2 linked regions of the Struthio camelus genome follow. The protein of the gene in region 2 interacts with the protein of the main gene of each other region in a pairwise test. Links are inferred from orthologs where the notes say so. Each region holds a gene or a part of one and is shown on either strand. Other genes may lie near its edges.

Region 1 (10,854 bases), about 21 Mb from region 2:
GGCCTGACACGGCTTGACATGGGTCAACACGGTTCAGCATAGCCTCACGCGGCTTGACATGGGTCAACATGGTTCAGCATAGACTGACACGGCTTGACGTGGGTCCACATGGCTCGACATGGCCTGACACAGCTTGACATGGGTCAACATGGCTCGACATGGCCTGACACGGCTTGACATGGGTCAACACGGTTCAGCATAGCCTCACGCGGCTTGACATGGGTCAACATGGCTCAGCATAGACTGACACGGCTTGACGTGGGTCAACATGGCTCGACATGGCCTGACACGGCTTGACATGGGTCAACACTGTTCAGCATAGCCTCACGCGGCTTGACATGGGTCAACATGGCTCAGCATAGACTGACACGGCTTGACGTGGGTCCACATGGCTCGACATGGCCTGACACAGCTTGACATGGGTCAACATGGCTCGACATGGCCTGACACAGCTTGACATGGGTCAACATGGCTCGACATGGCCTGACGCAGCTTGACATGGGTCAACATGGCTCGACATGGCCTGACATGGCTTGACATGGGTCAACATGGCTCAACATGGCCTGATATGGCCTGATGCAGCTCGACATGGGTCAACGTGGCCCAATATGGCTTGACATGGCTCAGCATAGCCTGACACGGCTTGACACGGGTCAGCATGGCCTGATACGGCCTGACGCAACTCAACATGGGTCAACGTGGCCCGACATGGCCCCTGACCCTGCCCAAGCGCACCCACATGTCCCTGCAGGCACAGACACGCGTGTCTCCAAGCGTGTCCCCACACGTGCCCCGCACACCCCCCATAGCCACGTGTCCCCACACGTGTCCTGCGTGCAGGGTCCCACTGTCCCCTGCCCAGGCTCCTGAAATGGGGCACCCCACATACCCGGAACCCCCTCAGCCCCCCACATTGGGGGCACCCCACGCCCAGAGCCCCCCCCACATTGGGAGCACCCCACACCCGGGCTCCCCCACCTTCCCCTCCCGGGAGGTGACACGAGCTCGCCCGGCCTCAGCCGAGGACCCCAACGCACCCGCTCTGCCTGGGGAGGGGGGCACAGCTGGGGGCCAAGGTGGCAGCAATTAGGCCCCTAATTACCCCCTGGTAATTACCCCGGGTGGGGGGGGGGGCTGCACGCAGGGCTGGAGGGGGGACGGGGCTCGGCCCCCCCAGGGCGGCGGCAGTGAGAGGCGGCAGCAGGTCGGGGCGGCCTGTTTAATGCCCCCGACGGCGGAGGGGGGTGCGGGGGGGAGTCCGGATGGGTGCGGGGGGGTCGGGGGCCCCGGCGTCCGGCGCGTCACCACTTGGAGTACTTGCGGCGCAGGCAGTCGCGGTAGAACTGGAAGATGGCGGCGGCGGCGCGCTGGGCGGCGGCGAGGCTCTGCTGCAGCTGCGGAGGGGGCGCGGGGCGTGGGGGGCCGCCCCACGGCGGGGGGGGGGGCACGGGGGGGCCACCTCACCCATGGGGGGGGCTGCCCCATGGTGGCGGGGGGCACAGGGGGGCCACCCCATGGTGGGGGGGGCACGGGGGGGCCACCTCACCCGCAGGGGGGGAACAGGACATGGGGGGGGGGCTTCCCCACGGCGGGGGGGGGTGGAACATGGGGGCTGCCCCATGGTGGGAGGGGGGGACAGGGGCCACCCGACGGGGGGGGGGTTCCTCATGGGGGGGGGGGCAGGACACAGGGGGCCGCCCCATGGCGGGAGGGGGAACGGGACGGGGGGGGGGCTGCCCCACGGCATGGGGGGGGGGAACATGACGCAGATGGCCGCCCAATGGTGGTGGGGGGGAACGGGACATGGTGGGGGGCTGCCCCATGGCATGGGGGGGGGAACGGGACATGGGGGGGGCTGCCCCACAGCATTGGGGGGGGCTGCCCCACAGCATGGGGGGGGGACACGGGGGGGGGGCCGCCCCCCGGGGCAGGACGGGGGTCACAACCCCCAGTGCGTGTGTGTTTTGGGGGGGGGGGGGAACCGACAGGCCGGGAACCCGCAGGAAACCCCTCGCTGCCCGGAGCGACCCAAACCCGCGGCGATTCGCCCCGAAAGCCGGGACGGGGGGGGGGGGGGGGGGCGCTGACCTCCTGGGGGGAGCAGGCGCCCTTGGTGGTGGCGGCGGCCAGGAGGCGGCCGTCGGGGCTGGCGATGGCGAAGGTGAGCACGGCGCGGGCCTCCTGCGGGGCGAGGGGCAGCGGGGCTGAGCCGGGGGGGGGGACCGCGGCCCCCCGGGGTGGGGGGGGACGGGGGGGGGACCCGCTCACCCGCTCCTGGCGCGCCGTGGGGTCGAGGACGAGGCGGCCGTCGGGCCGCAGGGCGCAGGCGACGCCGCAGAAGAGCGAGGCCAGCGGCAGCCCCGCGTCCAGCAGCCCCAGGCAGGCGGCGTTCAGGCAGCAGGCCAGCAGCTGCGCCCCGCGTCAAGGCGCCCCCGGCCCCCTCCGGCCCCCGCGCGCCCCCCGAAACCCCCCCCAAGCCCCCAATTCCCCCTAACCCCCCCAAACCCACATCCAGCCTCTCAAACCCCCCGAAATCCCCTCAAACCCCCCGAAATCCCCAAGCCCCCAATTCCCCCTAACCCCCCCAAACCCACATCCAGCCCCTCAAACCCCCCAAAATCCTCCCCAAGCCCCCAATTCCCCCTAACCCCCCCAAACCCACATCCAGCCCCTCAAACCCCCCGAAATCCCCCCCAAGCCCCCAATTCCCCCTAACGCCCCCCAAACCCCCATCCAGCCCCTCAAACCCCCCGAAACCCCCCCCAAGCCCCCAATTCCCCCTAACGCCCCCCAAACCCCCATCCAGCCCCTCAAACCCCCCGAAATCCCAACCCCTAAATCCCCCTAACGTCCCCCAAACCCCCCAAAGTCCCCCCAAACCCCCAATTCCCCCTAACGCCCCCCCAAACCCACATCCAGCCCCTCAAACCCCCCAAAATCCCAACCCCCCCAAATCCCCCTAAAGACCCCCAAACCCCCCGAAATCCCCCCAAGCCCCCAATTCCCCCTAGCGTTCCCCAAACGCCCCTCTATCCCCCAAACCCTCTAAATCCCTCCCCCAAAACCCCCATTCTCCCCCCAAAACCCCCAATCCCCCCAACCCCTCTCAATCCCCCCATTCTCTCCTAAACCCCCTCGAACCTCCCACTCTCCCCCCCAACCCAATTCCCTCCCCAAAATCCCCAAATCCCCCAACAATGCCCCAAACCCCCCTCTATCCCCCCACCTCCCCACTCCCTTCCTGACGTGCCCAACGCCAACAACCCCCCAAACCCAATCGATGCCCCCAACCACCCCAATTCGCTCTCCGAAACCTGCCTGCTCCTCCAAAACCCTGCCAGCTTCCCCCGAACCTCCACTTAACCCCCCAAACCACCCCAATTCCCTCCCCAAGCCCCCAGCTCCCCCCCAAACCCCATCAGCTCCCCCCCAACCCCCCTGACTGCCCCCCAAACCCTAATTCATCCCCCAAACCCCGATTCTCTCCCCCCAAGCCCCCCAGCTCTCCTCTAAACCCACCCGCTTCCTGCCAAGCCCCCGTCCATCCCCCCAAACCCTGGTTCCCTCCCCAAAACAGCCCGCCCCCCCCAGCCCCCCCCCAGCCCCCCGGCGGGGGCGGAAGCGGATACGGATCCGGCGTCGCTGAGCACCTGCAGCACCAGGGTGACGGCGGAGCGAGGGTGCAGGGCGCCCAGCAGCACCGCCTGGCACGTGCGCCGCAGCAGCTGCTCCCGGCTCCGCTCCGCCACCCCTGCGGCCCCACGGGGGTCACGGCCGCCCCACGGCCGCCCCACGGCCCCCACGGCCGCCCCCCGTGCCCCCCCGGCCCGGCACGTGCGCCGCAGCAGCTGCTCCCGGCTCCGCTCTGCCACCCCTGCGGCGCCACGGGGGTCACGGCCGCCCCACGCCCCCCCCGGCTGCCCCACGCCCCCCCCGGCTGCCCCACGGACGCCCCCCGTGCCCCCCCGGCCCGGCACGTGCGCCGCAGCAGCTACTCCCGGCTCCGCTCCGCCACCCCTGCGGCGCCACGGGGGTCACGGCCGCCCCACGCCCCCCCCGGCCGCCCCACGGCCGCCCCCCGTGCCCCCCCGGCCTGGCACGTGCGCCGCAGCAGCTGCTCCCGGCTCCGCTCCGCCACCCCTGCGGCGCCACGGGGGTCACGGCCGCCCCACGGCTGCCCCACGGCCCCCCCGGCCGCCCCCCGTGCCCCCCCGGCCCGGCACGTGCGCCGCAGCAGCTGCTCCCGGCTCCGCTCCGCCACCCCACGGCCCCCACCCCCCCCGCACCCCCGGCACCCACCGGGCAGCCCCACCTTGGGGCGCAGCAGCACCTCCAGCACCGCCTGGTCCGGCAGCTCTTTGCTGCCCTTCGCCTCGCCGGGGCCGTAGAGCCCGGCCAGCACCGAGGTGTCGCCTGCGGGCGTGGGGTGGGGGGTCGGCGACCACGCGTGGGCCCAGGCGTCCGGGGGGGGGGGAGATCTCGGGGGGGGGGCAGGGTGTCCAGGGACAGGGGATCCCATGGGAAGAGGGGCCCAGGCGTCCGAGGGGGGATCCCGGGGAAGAGGGGCCCAGGCGTCCGGGGGGGGGGGATCTCGGGGGGAGGGGATCTCGGGGAAGAAGGGCCCAGGCGTCCGGGGGGGGAGGGGAAGGACCCAGGCGGCCCCCGCGGACGGTGAGGGGGAACCGGGGGCGGCGCGGGGGGGGGGGTCGCGCACCCTGGACGAAGGCGGCCGAGCCGTCGGGCCGCGAGAGCAGCCCCTGCTCGCAGGAGAAGGGCCGCAGGCAGCACTCGCCGCCGCCGCCATCCTCCTCCTCCTCCACTGCCACCGCTGCTGCTGCCTCCGCCGCCATGCTGCCGCCGCTCCCGCTTCCGCTTCCGGCGGAAACGCCCGCCCTCTGGCACGTGACCGCCCCCCCCAGTGCCCCGGTGCCCCCTTTCCCCGGTCCCCCCAGCCGCCCCGGTGCGCCGCCTCCTGCGGTCCCCCCGGCCCCCCGCGCCCCTCCCCGGCGTTCCGCCCCCCCAGTGCCCCGGTGCCCCCTTTCCCCGGTCCCCCCAGCCGCCCCGGTGCGCCGCCCCCCGCGGTCCCCCCGGCCCCCCGCGCCCCTCCCCGGCGTTCCGCCCCCCCCCAGTGCCCCGGTGCCCCCTTTCCCCGGTCCCACTAGCCGCCCCGGTGCGCCGCCCCCCGCGGTCCCCCCGGCCCCCCGCGCCCCTCCCCGGCGTTCCACGCCCCCCCCAGTGCCCCGGTGCCCCCTTTCCCCGGTCCCCCCAGCCGCCCCGGTGCGCCGCCCCCCGCGGTCCCCCCGGCCCCCCGCGCCCCTCCCCGGCGTTCCGTCCCCCCCAGTGCCCCGGTGCCCCCTTTCCCCGGTCCCCCCAGCCGCCCCGGTGCGCCGCCCCCCGCGGTCCCCCCGGCCCCCGCGCCCCTTCCCGGCGTTCCCCCCGGCCCGCCCCGCCCCGCCCCGCACAAGATGGCGGCGGCGGCGCTGCGGGCGCTGCGCGGGCGGCTCCTGCGGGCCCGGGCGGCTCCGCTCTCGGCTCCGCTCTCGGCTCCGGCTCCGGCCCGCGGCCTCGGCACCGCCGTGAGTGGGGCGGGCGCGGGGGGCGCCGCGCCGAGGTCCCCCCACCGCCGCCGCCGGCCGGGCCCGGCTCCCCACGTCCCCACGTCCCCGTGTCCCCGTGTCCCCACGTCCCGTCCCCACGTCCCCGTGTCCCCGTGTCCCCGTGTCCCCATGTCCCCGTGTCCCCACGTCCCCGTGTCCCCACGTCCCGTCCCCACGTCCCCGTGTCCCCATGTCCCCATGTCCCCGTGTCCCCGTGTCCCCACGTCCCCGTGTCCCCGTGTCCCTGGCTCCCCACGTCCCCGTGTCCCCACGTCCCCACGTCCCCGTGTCCCCACGTCCCGTCCCCCCGTGTCCCCACTTCCCGTCCCCACGTCCCCGTGTCCCCACGTCCCCGGCTCCCCACGTCCCCGGCTCCCCACGTCCCTGTGTCCCCACGTCCCGTCCCCACGTCCCGTCCCCACGTCCCCGTGTCCCCACGTCCCCGTGTCACCGGGGTGAACAGGAGGGTTCGGCAGGGGGGTTTCGGCGGGGGGGGACGGGGACGACGGGACGTTTCGGCGGGGGGGACGGGGACGACGGGACGTTTCGGCGGGGGGGGGACGGGGACGACGGGACGTTTCGGCGGGGGGGGACGGGGACGACGGGACGTTTCGGCGGGGGGAGACGGGGACGACGGGACGTTTCGGCGGGGGGGGACGGGGACGACGGGACGTTTCGGCAGGGGGGGGACGGGGACGACGGGACGTTTCGGCGGGGGGGACGGGGACGACGGGACGTTTCGGCAGGGGGGGCGGCAGCAGGAGCCCTCTCTGCCCTCGCTGGCGGAGAAGCCGCAGTTCCCCGGCGCCTCGGCCGACTTCGCCGAGCGGCTCCGCTTCATCCAGCCCAACGCGCTGTCGGGCATCCCCGTCTACCGCGTCATGGACCGCCAGGGCCACGTCGTCAACCCCCGCGAGGACCCCCAGGTGGGCCCCGGCCCCCCGGCCCCACGGCCCCCAGCCCCACGGCCCCCGGCCCCCCGGCCCCCCAGCCCCACGGCCCCCGGCCCCCGCGCTGTCGGGCATCCCCGTCTACCGCGTCATGGACCGCCAGGGCCACGTCGTCAACCCCCGCGAGGACCCCCAGGTGGGCCCCGGCCCCCCGGCCCCCCGGCCCCACGGCCCCCGGCCCCCCGGCAGCCCCTGTCCCCACGTTGCGTTTCCCATCCCCATGGCGGCTCCTGCCCTTGCAGCATGTCCCTCGTCCCCACGGCAGCAGCCCCCCGTCCCCACGGCAGCCCCTGTCCCCACATCACGTCCCCCAACCCCACGGCGTGCCCTGTCCTCGCAGGGCAGCCCCTGCCCCACAGCAGCCCCTGTCCCCACGTGGCGGCCCCCATCCCCACGGCGGCCCCTGTCCCTGCGGCGCGTCCCCTGTCCCCGTGAGCGTCCCCGGTCCCCACAGTGTCCCCCAAACCCACGACGACACCGTCCCCGTGGTGCCCCCACCCCCGTGACGCCCCGTCCCCGGGCGGCGCTGCCCCCCCCGCAGCTGCCCCAGGAGCTGGTGCTGAAGCTCTACAAGACCATGACGCTCCTCAACACCATGGACCGCATCCTGTACGAGTCGCAGCGGCAGGTGAGCCGGGGGCCGGCGCGGGGCCCGGCCGGGGGACGCGCCGCCTGCCCGCGCCCACCCCCGCCGCCCCCCAGGGCCGCATCTCCTTCTACATGACCAACTACGGCGAGGAGGGGACGCACGTGGGCAGCGCGGCGGCCCTGGCCGACACCGACCTGGTCTTCGGGCAGTACCGCGAGGCGGGTAAGGGCGAGCCGGGCCGGCGGCGGCGGCGGCGGTGGCGGCGTCCCCCCCGCGCTCACCGCCGCCCCGCGCCAGGCGTGCTCATGTACCGCGGCTACCCGCTGGACCTCTTCATGGCGCAGTGCTACGGCAACGCCAGCGACCCCGGCAAAGGGCGCCAGATGCCGGTGCACTACGGCTGCCGCGAGCGCCACTTCGTCACCATCTCCTCCCCGCTGGCCACCCAGATCCCGCAAGGTGACGCCGGGCTGGGGTGGGGTTGGGGGGGTGGACACGCGCCGGCGCTGCCCCCGGGGGCTGACGCCGCGTCCCGACCCCGCTCCCGGCAGCCGTGGGCGCCGCCTACGCCATCAAGCGGGACAACGCCAACCAGGCGGTCATCTGCTACTTCGGCGAGGGGGCCGCCAGCGAGGGGGACGCCCACGCCGGCTTCAACTTCGCCGCCACCCTCGAGTGCCCCATCATCTTCTTCTGCCGCAACAACGGCTACGCCATCTCCACCCCCACCTCCGAGCAGTACCGGGGCGACGGCATCGGTAAGAGCCGCCGCGCGCGGGCGACGGCAGCGGCCGTGGTGGCCGTCCCTGACCGCGGCCCCCCGCAGCGGCCCGCGGCCCCGGCTACGGCCTCATGTCCATCCGCGTGGACGGCAACGACGTCTTCGCCGTCTACAACGCCACCAAGGAGGCGCGGCGCCGCGCCGTGGCCGAGAACCAGCCCTTCCTCATCGAGGCCATGACCTACAGGTGCGGGGCCGGGGGGCGGCGGCGGCGGCGGCGGGGGGACACGCGCGGTGGCGGCGGCGCCACGCGGCTCCCGCGCGTCCCCTCCCCGCTGGGCAGGATCGGCCACCACAGCACCAGCGACGACAGCTCCGCCTACCGCTCGGTGGACGAGGTGAACTACTGGGACAAGCAGGACCACCCCATCTCCCGCCTGCGCCACTACATGCTGGGCCGGGGCTGGTGGGACGAGGAGCAGGAGAAGAGCTGGAGGAAGAGCTCCCGCAGGAAGGTGAGCGGGGCCGGGGCGGCCTCTGCCTCTCCTCGTCCTTCTCCTTGTTCCCTTTCTCCTCGCTCTTCTCTTCCTCGTCTTCCTTTTCATCCTGCTCCTTGCGCTCCCTTTCTCCTGCTCCTCGCCCTTGTTCTGCTCGTCTTTGTCCTCTTCCTCCTTGCGCTCGTTCTCTCGTTCTTCCTCGTTGCCCTTGTTGTTGTTCTCCTTCCCAACCTTCTCCCCTTCCTTCTCCTAATTTTTTGTTCTTGTCTTCATCCTCGCTTGCCTTCTTGTTATCTTTCTCCTGCTCGTCCTCTTCATCCTCATGTTCCTTACGCTCTTTCTCCTCTTCCTCATTGTCCTCCTTGTCCTGCTCCTCCCCGTCCTCACTCTCGTCCTCGTCTTTCTTCTCCTCATCCTGCTCCTTCTCCTCCTCGTTCTCCTTGTTCTCCTCCTCTACCTCCTGCTCCTCCCTGTCCTCGCTCTCATCCTCATCTTTCTTCTCCTGCTCCTTCTCCTCCTCGTTCTCCTTGTTCTCCTCCTCTACCTCCTGCTCCTCCCTGTCCTCGCTCTCATCCTCATCTTTCTTCTCCTGCTCCTTCTCCTCCTCGTTCTCCTTGTTCTCCTCCTCTACCTCCTCCTCCTCCCTGTCCTCACTCTCATCCTCATCTTTCTTCTCCTCCTTTTCCTCGTCCTCCTCCTCCTCACTCTCCTCCTCTACCTCCTCCTCCTCCTCGTCCTGCTCCTCCTCGTCCTCATTCTCATCCTTCTCCTTCACTTGCTCGTTCTCGTCGTCCTGCTCCTTGTCACCCTACTGCTTGTTCTCCTGCTCTTCGTTCTGCTCCTCTACCTCCTCCTCCTCCTCGTCCTGCTCCTCCTCGTCCTCATTCTCATCCTTCTTCTCCTTCACTTGCTCGTTCTCGTCGTCCTGCTCCTTGTCACCCTACTGCTTGTTCTCCTGCTCTTCGTTCTGCTCCTCTACCTCCTCCCGCTCCGCGTCCTTCCCGGCTCACCCGGCTGCTCCCCCCGCAGGTGATGGAGGCCTTCGAGGAGGCGGAGCGCAAGCTGAAGCCCAACCCGCAGCTGCTCTTCTCCGACGTGTACCGCGAGATGCCGCCGCACCTGCAGAAGCAGCAGGCGGCCCTGGCGCGGCACCTGCAGCAGTACGGCGAGCACTACCCCCTCGAGCACTTCGAGCAGTGACGCCGCCCGCCCTCCCCAATAAACCCGCTGCCGCCTCGGGGCCGTGTGCGTTGGTGCGACGGTAAGCGAGAGTCCGGGCGCCGCGCGCGCGGCCGGGAGCGCCCCCGTTCGATGCGCCGCCCGGGCCGGCGCAGCAGCCGCCAGAGCGCGCGGTCTGCGGCGGGCAGCGCCGGTGCATCGGCAGCAGCCCGGCGCGGGCGCAGGGGTCGCCCGGCCGCCACGTCCAGCGTGCGGAAGCCGGCGTGGGGCCGCGCCGGGACGCCCAGCGCGTGGAAGCGGAGCCCGGCGAAGACGTCGTCGGTGGGGAAGAGCGCCAGGCGGGCGGCCAGGTCGTGCGAGGGCCCCGCCAGCCGCCCGGAGAGGAGGTAGCCGCCGCCGCCGCCGCCGCAGCCCGGGTAGGGACCGGCGTAGAAAGGGGCCGGGATGTAATACTTGCCGGCGGGCGCCCGGAAGGGCCGCGCGTCGGCCATCGCCCGCCCGGCGTAGAGGACGCGGGCCGGCGGCGGCGAGCCCAGCTAGGCCAGGACGCGCGGCGTGTTGACGAAGGCGGCGGCGTCGCCCTTGAGCACGAAGCGGGCGCCGGGGCAGCGGCGCCGCAGCCAGCCGAGGAAGAGGAAGTCCTTCAGCGCCAGGTTGAAGAAGGCGTCCTCGAAGCCCCACTGCAGCAGGTCGCCGAAGAGCCGGCTCCCGGCCGCCGGGCCCAGCAGGAAGACGGCCCGCACGCCGGCCCGCCGCCGGGCCCGGGTCTGCCGCGCCGCCGAGTTCCCCGGCGCCGACTCGACGGCCAGCAGCAGGAAGGGGCCGTTGGGCCGCAGGCGCCCGGCTGGTCCAGCAGCAGCGGGTAGCGCCGGCAGCCGCCGCGCAGCACGAAGCGCCGGAGCGCCTCGGGGTAGGCGCCGAAGTCGGGGAAGGCGGCGGCCGGCGCGCTCTCGCCGCAGCCGCCCGCCCCCGCTGCAGCCCCTTCCAGTAAGCCGGGGCGGGCGGTTCGGGGCCCCCCGAGCGCCCCCCGGCTCCCGCTCGCTCCAGCTCACGTAGGCGTGGAGGCAGAGCAGCGCCGCCGGGGCCAAGGCCACCGGCAGGCGCTTGGGGCCGCGCGTGCTCCGGGGGGGACGGCGAGCCTGGGGCGGGGGCGACGGGGACGTCAGGGACCCCGGCTCGGCCGGTCCCCGGACGCACGAGGTGCCCTGGGGACGCGCGACCCCGGCTCGGCTGGTCCGCGGACGCGCGAGGCGCCCCGGGGACGCGTGACCCCCCCTGGGGACGCGCGACCCCGGCTCGGCCGGTCCCCGGACGCGCGACC
Region 2 (11,287 bases):
CATCATTCTTGTCTCGTATCCCTTGACTCTCTTTCTCACATATACCTCCCTTCTCTAGCACAACTGAACTGTATGCTAGACTTCAACAGAAGTGATTTGTCTGTCTCCTCTCCCTCCTCCCAACTTAGATTCACATCAAAAAAAACTGCACTCAAATCCATAGAACAGCGCAGTTGCAAGCTACAGGAAGGTAGACCATGTTACATTTTCCTCCCCTCCCGTAGTCAAAGGGTAATTTTTCCATTACGGTGCAGAGAAAATTGACATACCTGGTGTAAGAGTATTTGTTGTTGCTTCTATTATAAAGCAGCTTAACAACAGGCTATTGGGAGAGGAGAGGGGGAAAAAAAAACAGAAAAGGTAAGTTCTGTGTTTGAATACATTAAGCAGAAATTCAGTTTCTCACTAGATAGTTCTAGAAAAGCAGTTACTTTCATTGATGATTCTATGAGTCTCTCTTCTTCTTTTGGAGATGTGATGATAGGGATGTTACAGACAGGTTCATACAAGTCTTTCTTGTCCTGTTTTAAAGAAATAAGAGGGAGAGGAAATAAAAAAACCCAAGGGATATAAATGATGAAACTAACATCTGCTGCTGCTCTCTTCTCCAAAACCTCCCGCCATGTTCCCAAACCCTGTGATGCAAAGGAAGAGCCCTACGTTGCTATAGTAACTACACAGCATTACCTTGATCTCTAACCCAGAAATACAGCAGAGAGGCTTCTTATTCCCAGAAGGCAGCAATAATTGAAATATTGGGATGCAAGGGGATGTCCTTCTTAGCTATAGCAAAGACTCTGAGCTCAAGTCATGCTTGGTTTAAGTGGGTTTATTATTCCAGCCTTTTTTGGAGAAAAGGATAGTAAGAGTTTGCACAAGTTTTAAATAACTCAAAACACTGCAGAATATAAGATCAGCCACTATGAACTGAACATTTGGCAAGAAGAACAGTATGTCACTGAAATGGACTTCTTCCCCTTGTGGTACAAAAGCAACCAACAATAGCTTGAAGTACAGTCTGTGACTCCAGATTCCTCATGTAGCAAATTAAGGAAAGCTCAATAGCTAATGGGAAAGCCTTGGAACATTTTGTTTTTAGAAGAAAGGTTTTAAATTCAAAACCAGCAGAAAAATTGTCAGTGTAGCTTTGCACTTCTTTCAGTGGCTACAAGAAGTATGTTGAATGTGAGGTATTTGTTAATTACTAAGTTTTATCCCTTCAGAAACATTCTTTTCACAATCTTAAGATTAATAATAAGTTTTATATATATATAAATAATACATATCTGGGCTAACCTTGTAAGAAAGTCAGCCAAACAAAGTGATTTCAGTCAGCTGAACCTGAACACATACGGAGTAGTGCAGTGAATAAAGCTACTTATGGGCTTATATATTTACAAACAGAGCTAGTAAGATGATACAAATAAAAATCCTTAAAGTAATCAGTGCTCACCATGTAGACCTTCCTCTTTCTACATTAAGAGTCAAACGTGGAAAAAAATTACCATATTTTCAAAGTTTGCAACCCATTCTGCTTATCAACATTATCCGCTTATCTATTATTATCCAATAGAAGTGATATAATTTGGCGGAATTTTAGGCAAATGCTATGAGGTCTTTTAAAACATCTGTGTTCAAAATAATCATGTTTATTCAACGAATTTCCTTTAAATTTCAGTTTTTCATTTCTTTTCACATAAAAGGAACTCAAAATTCACTATTTCCTAAATTAAAAAAATATACAAATATAAAAGAAACAGTCCCTCTATTTATACGACTGGTTCTGAACATAATCTCTTCTTTATTCATCTTCTGGCATTCTTGTGAAGTAGAAAAAGTCCTGTTATCCCCATTCTGCAGCAGGCAGCTGGGCAAGAGAATGGTAGCTCAAAGGAAAATGATTTACCCATCATCATACAAGACATCTCTGAAATGAAAGGAACTTGAACCTGAGCCTTTCATGTTCTAGATTAATATAATTTAACTTCTGGACCATCTTTCTCTCTTCTTACAAAGAAATAGCTGCCTTGATAATGCAACCACATCAGTAATTACACTAGACCCCTTGAGAACACAGGCCCCTTTGCCCTGAAAGGCTGTTCCACAATATTGAATAGGTCTGAGAACATTTCCTGTGAGAGCATAAACTAAATCTCTCTTACACAAAGCATCACAGAATCTCGAGTGTCCACATACAGCAAGGAAAACCACGGCTTTGATAAATGTACTTGATAAGATCTTAACAACTTATCTCACTGCTGTCTCATTTTCTTTCCAGGCTACCTTGTGCGCCTAAGACTTGATGTACATCTAAGACCATGAAACACTCTTTGAAGTCATCCTAAGTCATATTTATAAGCAAAACGCCTGCCAATAACTACAGGCTACTTCTATTTCTTACCTGCAGGGCTGCTTGGCACATGTCTACTAAGCCCTGAATAAGATAATATTTGGCTTCTGCCATCAACTCTTTGATCTCCTGTCTGTGTTTTGGAAGCGCAATTGTGTCATCTCGGAGATAGTTTAAAATTGTTCCAAAGTGCTTCCCACAACGGTCTATAAGGATCCAGCCTGAAAAGTAACCATCACAACATTTCAATCACCTCAACAGTGGGAGGCAAACAACAGCTTTTCAGAGAGGTTAAACATGGAAACTGCATTCAAGTTTCATAAGCTGATAAGAAGCCTACTGAAACTTCCCTGAAACTGCGTATGATCTGTTTCCCATTTCATTCAGTGAAAGTCTTTACTGACTTTGAGCAAATTGAAGTTGGTTACAGAACAGAAAATGACAGGGGAATTGCTCTTCTGGCGATCTACTTTCCTCTTTGGAAATGTACTTTTGGAAGACTTCTCTACTCTTTTCTGCTTCTTTTCTATTCTTTGGAAATCTACTTTTCAGCACCCCAAAAGAAAAACACAGTTAGAAAAAAAAACTAAAAATACCCAGCTTTCTCTCAAGAGACATTAAAATCCCTGCAGGAACCTGGCTGCACTGTATCTACTGATCAGTCCATGTGCTGCCTGACTAAAATCATTTTCTGTGTTTGATCCTTTATTTATTAGGAATGGATCTTCTTAACTACTATAAGAAATCACCAGTTTGCATTTTTAGAGTTCTATTTGACTGACTGACCGAGCAATTCAAACCTTAAAAAAAAGCTTATTGTTAGGCAAGCTGCTTGTTTCATTTAGAGGCTTGCCATATTCCCAGCAAAATAGGGTTTTGCTGTGTTTGTATGGGAATAAATGTATCAAGTGCTGCTGCAGTGTAATGCTGGGCACTTGAAACTTAGAAATCTATTACTAAGAAAGCTAAGGGAAAAGTATAAGAAGGAATTTGCAAATATTTGCAACAAGTGAATTGGGGCTAAGTTCTGTGGCCTACCTAGAAAAATTTGTCAGCCTCCCAACCATCTTCTACTGTTGTTCAGAGTTAACAAAAAGAAAAGTATTCCAGGGATGCCAAAACATAGAATAGCCCAGAAAACACAGTGTGGGAAAAACACTGTTCCGGTCTCCGAATACGAGTAAAGAACACAGACAGATCAGGAGAGAGTGGAAAGTGGAAGCAGCACAGGAAGGAGTAGTAGATGAACGTTTTTCTGATTCTAAAACATCCCTGAGGGCACATTGACTAGGAAACAGGATGTCTGACTTGCTGGCAAACAATAGCAATGCAGGACACACGCAAGCAGAGGACTTAGTACAGTGACAAACTCTCTTCCATAATGTGGAAGGCAGGAAAAAAATGGTATTTGGGGACCCAGGTGCAGAGGACATTATAAGAAAAGTAGACTAAACCACTACTAGATTCTCCAGCTGTGGCTGTCAGAACACTAACCCTGTCCTCTCTTCAGGCTAAGGCTCTTACACAAAATTGCTGGGCTAAACTGATTTAGTCATATACAAACCAGCGTACTCAAGAGGAATTTGGTTTAAGTGATATGCACACAAAGAAGTTGTGTCAGTTTAAGTAAAAACACTGTTATGCATCAAGTTTAAATTGATGCAGTCTCAGCATGTGGAAGAGCTTTCACAGATGAATATTCTGAAACACCAAGAGGTTAAATACTTGCCATCCTCTCTCAATCTCTTCTCCACAGTGCTACAAGCCTCATTCCTAAGGTATCATTTTGCTATGGGATAGTAAAGAGAGGAAAACAGAAGCATTCATAGGCATTGCTGACATCAGTCTTCTTACTTGTTCTGTTCTCTATAATTTATTATGGATTTTTATTTTTATAATGCCAGGAATCAATGTCCAGCATGAGGCGACATAATACTTGACTGGTGACTAAATACTGTCACAACATGGATATGTATTGTCAGCAACAAGTGGAACATACTATTAGGAGGGGAAAAAAACCCAGAATCCTCAACATAGCAAGCAAGGCTGTTGAGTTTGAAAGATGAAAACTGAATGTCCCCCCACCCCCAGTTTTGATTGACACCACTATATATCACCCAATAAATGACAACCCATGTGCCGTATGTTCAGTCTTGATAACGTCAGCAATCTGTGTACCAGCTGGGATTGTAGCAAAGAGAACTAGTCCCTCCTCTAGTTAATTTTAGTAACAAAAGAGCACATTTTCATAAGGCACGGAGGCTTGCTAGAGCCAATGGGAGCTGGGTGCCTAATGTTCCAAATTACTTTCCGAATACGTTTTTCCTTATACCCTTCACTCAGCATAGTCTACAAAAACTATTGTTTTACAAAATTCTCCACATCAAAAGACATTCCCCTTACCTTCCTTGTCTGTGAGCACTTCCATTCTGCCACTGAACATAGCCTTCAACATTGTGTCATGCCTGGTCAGTACTTGAACCGTAGTATAATATAAGGAACCCCCAACATTTAGTCGCACATATTTGTTACCAAGGTTGCCCCCTTTGAAGTTGCTAGTTTTGGGCTTGGATCCTGCAGCTGGACAAAGGGTGGTTAGACATGTGTCCCCTGACATCTCCTTCTGTAGATAGATGACAACCCTGCAGAGCGTGGGCTTGATGGATTCCGCCGTGATTGGTGAAGAGTCACAAGTCACGAGATGAGGAGTGCAAGGCAAAAACAGTCGTAACCCACTGGACCCTTGAAACAGAAACGTATAAAGATCAATACAGAAGCCTGGAATTACCATTTAAAACAAAAACAGGAAACCCACATTAAAGAAGAAATGTATTCAGTAGATTCTTAAGGACACATCTGCACAAATTCTGACAAAACAAGACGTAAGTGTTTTTCAAACAACTTACACAGCAATATAATGATTGTTCAGCACCATACTGTTAAGTTATGGCTGCATTACTGTTAGCGAGGCAAGTAAAACTTTTCTGGACTTCCTTTTGTTTAGTCCTCAGTCAATATAACAATCACCATCCAATCCTGTACAAGTTTAAATAATAGTTAGAATTTGGCTCCCTCCCAACTTCCCAAAATAATGTAACTTTTTCTTGTGCAAATCTAAAACACAATGGAAGAGCTTTCTGCAATGTCTCCAGCTGGGGTTTATATGAATTTTTTTTTTAACTGGAGACATTTACAGAGGTTTCAGCTGCCTCTCTTTCAAGTGCCTCGACACTAAAATGCTGGGCCATAATGCTCTATTTCCTGGTACATCCTTCATTCAAAACTCTTTTTCCTCTGTCCTGGAATGCCAAGCAGTCAATATAATACTAATTTTTCTATTTAAAAAATACGTCCAGTCTTTGGAATATTTGCCTCACGGAAAAGCCAGCTAAGACATTCACAACTTCCTTCCTCTCCCCAGTCTCACTATACTTATCTTTCCATCCAAGAGAAGCTTAGAATGGAAACAAACAAACAAACAAAAGGAGAACAAAACTCAGTTTAACAGGCCAGATCTCAGGTTCTTTAACTGGAAAAGTACAAGTACGGGTTTCTCAGCTAGCCTTCTTTTAATAACTGTTGGCCTCAGAAACATTTTGCTGGCTTTTCCCCTCTCACTATGCTTTTGTCTGTTTATCTATTTCAGACTACAAGCGTCTGTTCGCTTCTCTGTTCTGTGCCCGTGGTACATGAGTGACCTTTTATAAATAAATATAATAACCTGTTAACTGTATTGCTATTCTTCCCACATCCCTCTTCCTTCTCACCCCACCTCAGCTTTCAGCATGGAAAAAACCCACATCTCTCCATCCATCTGGTGCAGCAAATTACTTAGCAGCTACAGATGGTATCTTAAAATTGCCAGAGATTTGAATAGCTACTGAACTTAGAACGATATCTAACATAATGTTATTCTAATTAAGGAAGCACTACAAAAAAGATCTATTAAACAACAAACAATACAAAAACTTTGCAGGTCACAAAGACACAAACCAATGTTAACAATTTTAGTGCCAAGAGAGATCAGTTTGTCTATAAATGCTGGAACTCCCACTAGCTGTCAACACTCTTTACTTTCAACTAATCATCCTAGAACACAATAGTAAATTTACTTCTACATCTGAACAAGCCAATTTTTTTTTCTGAGCACATCATTTTAGACAAGTCGTCCATTGACAAATATAAGTCAAAGGCAACTGCATGTTACAAATGAACTAGGCTAGAAAAGTAATTTCAAACTGGTAAGCAGCCAGCAACAAACAAAAACTGTGCATGCGATTATGGTGCTATAAGAAGTTTATTACCCAGAAGAGCTAAAAGCTATGGAGAAATTGACCAGAACTTCTCCAAACACATTGCACATAACACAATTCCTCCTTACTAGACATAGGTGTTTACTATAATCTTTTACAAATAAGTAAATCAAGACTAGAAGCAACTATACTTATTGTTTCAGTTAAGACCTTTGGTAGACCTAAGTTATACCTCTATTTCTACAAATTTGTTACAGATGTCCTGTCTTGTTTTAGCCCATAGCGATCTCTCTTTAAAACAAAAGCATGTTTTTAAAGATAGCCAGATTGATCATGCAACAAAAGAAATAACTCCAGACCCAAACAGAGCTCTTTAATGTCTTTCTAATGGATAGCAAAATTCTCTATCCAGCCTATCCAAGTAGGAGCAAATACTATTACTGTAACATGTTTATTAACTAGCAAGCTAGGAGGCTTTTGCTGCAAACAGTAATTTGACCTTTAATTACACCCATTAACGCAAGAGAAAATTTTCTACGTCCTTTCCTTCCTGCCTTTTGTGGGAAGCAGATGGAGAACTGCAGAACAATAACACGGCAGTTCAGACACCCTATCAGGAAATGGTCCCAGTTGAGGACTTCCATAAAAAGAAATAACGTTAACAGCTCAAGAGGAGAAAAAAAAAACTTGAACAGAATCACTTCTAAAGTGGCACACTTTCTGTCTAATTTCTGGACTAGACAAAATGGTCTTAGTAGTTTTGGACACTCCCAGGCTCTGCCAAGCCCATCATGATGGGACAGAAGCATGACCCCGATCCTTGCTGAAGTCTGCACAGAGCTGAGCAGCACAAGAAAGGTTATGGATAGAGAAGGTTTAGTGGAGTCAGAAAGGAAGGTGGCATGAGCACGTCAGTGTCAGAACAGCGGAGAAAAAGGAGGTTTCCTGCGTGCCCCGAAGTTTCACATACAGATGGAGGGCAACGTTTCCAGAGACAAAGTTTCCGGGTGCTGAATTACTCGAGTCCACGCACCTGGCCTCTATTCCTTGGTCAGCAAGGGCGACAGCACCACAGCGGCAGAATGTTTCCTCTCGGGGTCTCAGTTTTACATCTGGCAAGGCAAATAACAAGGTCACCCTAGAAGCTAAATACTCATGTGAGCAGGAGTTCTCCCCTAGCCGTCTCTCACCGCCCACCGGGATGCTGGGACGATACCTGACCGCACTCTTCCTCAGCCCCGCTCGGCCGGCAGCGCCGCGCTCCCGCGCCCGCAGGCTCAGCCCCGCCGCGCCAGGCCTCCGGCCGCCGCCGCCGCCGCCCCCCGCGCCTCCCGGCTCCGCCGTGCCCTCCCCCGCGGACCCGCCGCCTCGAGCGCTCACCCCCCCGCGGCCCCTCGGCTGAGCTCATTTCCTCCGCGCGCCGGCAACCCGGAAACGCTCCCCGCCGCCGGGACTACAGCTCCCGACGTGCCGCGGGCTCGGCGGGAGGCTGGGACTACAGCTCCCGGCGTGCCGGGTAGGGCCCCGCGACTGCAGTACCGTCCCCCCTGTCGCCGTGGCAGCCGCGGTGCGGAGGGGCGCTGCCAGGTGACGGGGGCGGCGGGAGGGACGGGACGGGCCGCCGGCGGGGAAGGCGCTCGCTGCGGTGCCGGCTTGCTGCGGAGCGCGCCTGGGAGCGGCAGCGGGGGCGGCATGGCCCGCGACGCCCTGGGGCAAGCCGGGCTGCATTTCGACGAGCTGAACAAGCTTCGCGTGCTGGAGCCCGGCGTGGCCGAGCAGACGGCGCAGCTCCGCGAGGAGTGCGGCGCCTTCGTGGACAGTAAGTGCCGCTCCGCCGGGGCGCCGCGCCGCGCCCGAGAGCCCGCGCGGCCCCTCGGGAGCGGTTTGTTAGCAGGTGTCGCTTAGCGGGGCCGTGCGGGGGCTCCGCAGCTTCGAATAACCATTCCTTGAATAGACGGATCGGAAAAATGCCTTGAAGTGACGAAAAAATTAAGGAAGCGGACTCCGTGGCGTAAAGGACGGTGATGAATCCCGTTAACGTTTATGGGCTTCTCTCTTTTTTGTTCCCCTTTTATATCCTACCTGTTGTGAAGGAAAATCTTAAAGTGCACCTATTTACAGTAAACTGAAAGGACTAAGAAGTCACGGCTGAAATTCAAAGCCTATAGTACACATATTAGTCTTATTTGGTGTTATTTTGATGGATATTACTTGACTTTTTTTTTTTCTTTGCAGAAGTAGTAGAATTTCAAAAAATAGTGGGTAGCTTAATTGAACTTGTTGATCAACTAGCAAAAGCTGCTGAAAGTGAGAAGATGAAGGTACTGCGCAATTAATTACTGGCTTGTAACATACCCTGCCCTGTACAATGCATGAAAAACCAGCTCCCTTCCTTCCTACTTTTACAGTATAAACAATAATTTTCTGTCAGCATCATGCAGATATTTTCCATGGTAGTTAACATCTCCCTGCCTGTCTGGTATGAAAGCATAGGGGCTACAAAAAACTGACATTAACAACTGGAAAAATTTTATAAGCACACCTGGAGTGTGACATTACTCCTGCATTTAATAGTGCTACTGTTGCAGCTTATCAGTATATTGCATGTAAACAGAAAATGTTTTCTGATCAATATTTCTACCATTTGAACTTAGTTCATGAGAGGATCCACGAGGAGGAAGAAAGGGCTGTCCAAAGACCAAATCAATATATATCTCTGTAACTACCTCTGAAACTTTCTTGGCGTATTTCTATGCGTCACTAAGACTTTTTTCCCCCCTATTATTGCGAAAATAAAAATGAACAACTAGCAAAATTGTAGGTAGTTGCTTTTTCATCATTTGTTCTGGGGAAAAAATTATAACCAGAGCTTGTCTATCTGTAGTACTAGTCACCAATGATCAGATTGTATTTCCAGAAGAGTCAGTGGCTTTCCTGTCAGCGTGTTATGAACACTTGAAGTTTGAAGGAAGCCTCAAATGCCTTAATCTGCACAACTGCTACAGGGCTGTCTGCCTGTTCCACTAAACATTCAGTATCAACATGATATCCTCTTCTATTGTTAGCACGGCTGAAACACTTCAAAATCAATCTAATAGTAACAAAAGTGGTTTTAAAAAAAAAAAAAAAGCTCCTGATACAACTACGTCACTGCAAATCCTGTTTTGACAGGCCATTGGTGCACGAAATTTGCTGAAGTCTATAGCTAAGCAAAGAGAAGCTCAGGAACAGCAACTTCAGGCTTTAATAGCTGAGAAAAAGATGCAGTTGGAAAGGTAAGTTTTATATTAAATATAGTTTTTTGGGCATTGATTTAATATTTTGAAATGAAAGTAGTATATCATACATGACAAACTCAGCTCAATTATGTAGACTGTATACTCAGTCTTATCATCTGTGCTTGCCTGAAGGAGGAAAGTCTCTAAGCTTGTTCAAACAGTCCACCTGCAGCTAAGGTGTATCCTCCCATACAAGGCATGTATGAATAATGCAGCAGCATAATTCTATGCTTAACTTAAGGCCCTGTCTACCACTCTTGCAGGAAGCCTCATTTCTAATGTTTTTGTGGCTAAATAGAGGGGGCACGAGATCATGCAGCTAAGAAACTTAATAAAACTGTAATACAGTGCTGTTTGGATTTTTGTAGGTACTTCAGAACTGCAGTGTCTAACTGATGTAGCCACTGCTTTAAAAATTACTTATGCGCTTAGCCTAGATTTCCTTCACAACAGACCCATGAAGATAGAACTAAATCATCTAAATAACAGGAGCTGAATGTAGCTTGTAACCATTTTTTCTCTTTCAGATACCGAATAGAGTATGAGACACTATGTAAAATAGAAGCTGACCAGCATGAATTCATTGACCAATTCATTTTTCAAAAATAAAGGATTTTAAGATAAACAGCATACTGACCTGGGAACTTGACCATTCCAGGATCCTGAGGCTTTCAAAAATATGCAATTTTTCATTGTATATGAATTAACAGATGGCTTGTACAAATGAAAATGTTTTTTAATACAATTTGAATTTACACTAAAAGTGGCAATAAGGAAAGCTTTCTAACAGATGTAAATAAAGACAGTTCTGTCCTGTAGTTTTATAAAATGTTTGTACAGTCAGTAGTTCAAATTCAGATTACAATTGAATTAACGCTACTGTTGCTATGTTATGTTTCTCACTTTTTGAAGTGTGCAACTCTTTTAAATAAATCAGGAAATAAATTATTGTTTTCAGACCTTCTGGGGAATCTCAGAATTACTGCTTCTGCTAAGTTTATTTCTGCTCTTAAGAGTTTACAACTCTGCATAATCATAATGGAGAATTTCCTACGTATAATATTTTCATGTTTATAAAGACAACACACAACAGAGAGAAGCAGCAGTAATTTTATCTGTATTGATCAGATTTTCCTTTTCTATCCATTTAAAAAGAAAACAAGGAAAATTGAGCAACAGTTGATTAATTACAAATGAAAAAAGTAGAAAACATAGAATTCAGATTAAATTACATCTGAGGTGCAACGTCCATACAGCTAGTAATATTAGAGTAGAATATTTTTCTGAACATTAACTTCAAATTGATGAGACAAACTGTTCCAAGGGTACTGTAAAACAAGGGGTGTATATATAAACTATAAATATGAATGTGACATTTAAAAATAAAATGCCCATATTTTACAATG

What was found.
Region 1: the proteins of TNFAIP1 (region 2) and EXOSC5 interact in binary tests that used the Homo sapiens proteins (3 or more experiments, as listed by UniProt). The two-hybrid records come from large-scale screens. The link is inferred for Struthio camelus from reciprocal best matches to the Homo sapiens genes TNFAIP1 and EXOSC5.

Annotation. Positions count from the first base shown.
Region 1 is NC_090957.1:708,290-719,143, forward strand, and holds EXOSC5 (exosome complex component RRP46), read right to left. Parts: upstream 4,908-10,854; 5' UTR 4,851-4,907; coding exon 4,715-4,850; intron 4,414-4,714; coding exon 4,300-4,413; intron 3,752-4,299; coding exon 3,630-3,751; intron 2,410-3,629; coding exon 2,269-2,409; intron 2,182-2,268; coding exon 2,089-2,181; intron 1,395-2,088; coding exon 1,302-1,394; 3' UTR 1,189-1,301; downstream 1-1,188. Other genes in the region: BCKDHA (2-oxoisovalerate dehydrogenase subunit alpha, mitochondrial), read left to right, coding at 5,466-5,576, 6,344-6,523, 7,089-7,175, 7,250-7,358, 7,434-7,595, 7,688-7,894, 7,963-8,104, 8,201-8,372 and 1 more. UniProt on the Homo sapiens protein: Non-catalytic component of the RNA exosome complex which has 3'->5' exoribonuclease activity and participates in a multitude of cellular RNA processing and degradation events.
Region 2 is NC_090957.1:21,431,345-21,442,631, reverse strand, and holds the start of TNFAIP1 (BTB/POZ domain-containing adapter for CUL3-mediated RhoA degradation protein 2), read right to left. Parts: upstream 5,142-11,287; coding exon 4,754-5,141; exon of another isoform or gene 2,572-4,753; coding exon 2,402-2,571; exon of another isoform or gene 2,279-2,401; intron 522-2,278; coding exon 432-521; intron 323-431; coding exon 270-322; intron 1-269. Other genes in the region: IFT20 (intraflagellar transport protein 20 homolog), read left to right, coding at 8,296-8,422, 8,839-8,924, 9,775-9,878, 10,409-10,490. UniProt on the Homo sapiens protein: Substrate-specific adapter of a BCR (BTB-CUL3-RBX1) E3 ubiquitin-protein ligase complex involved in regulation of cytoskeleton structure.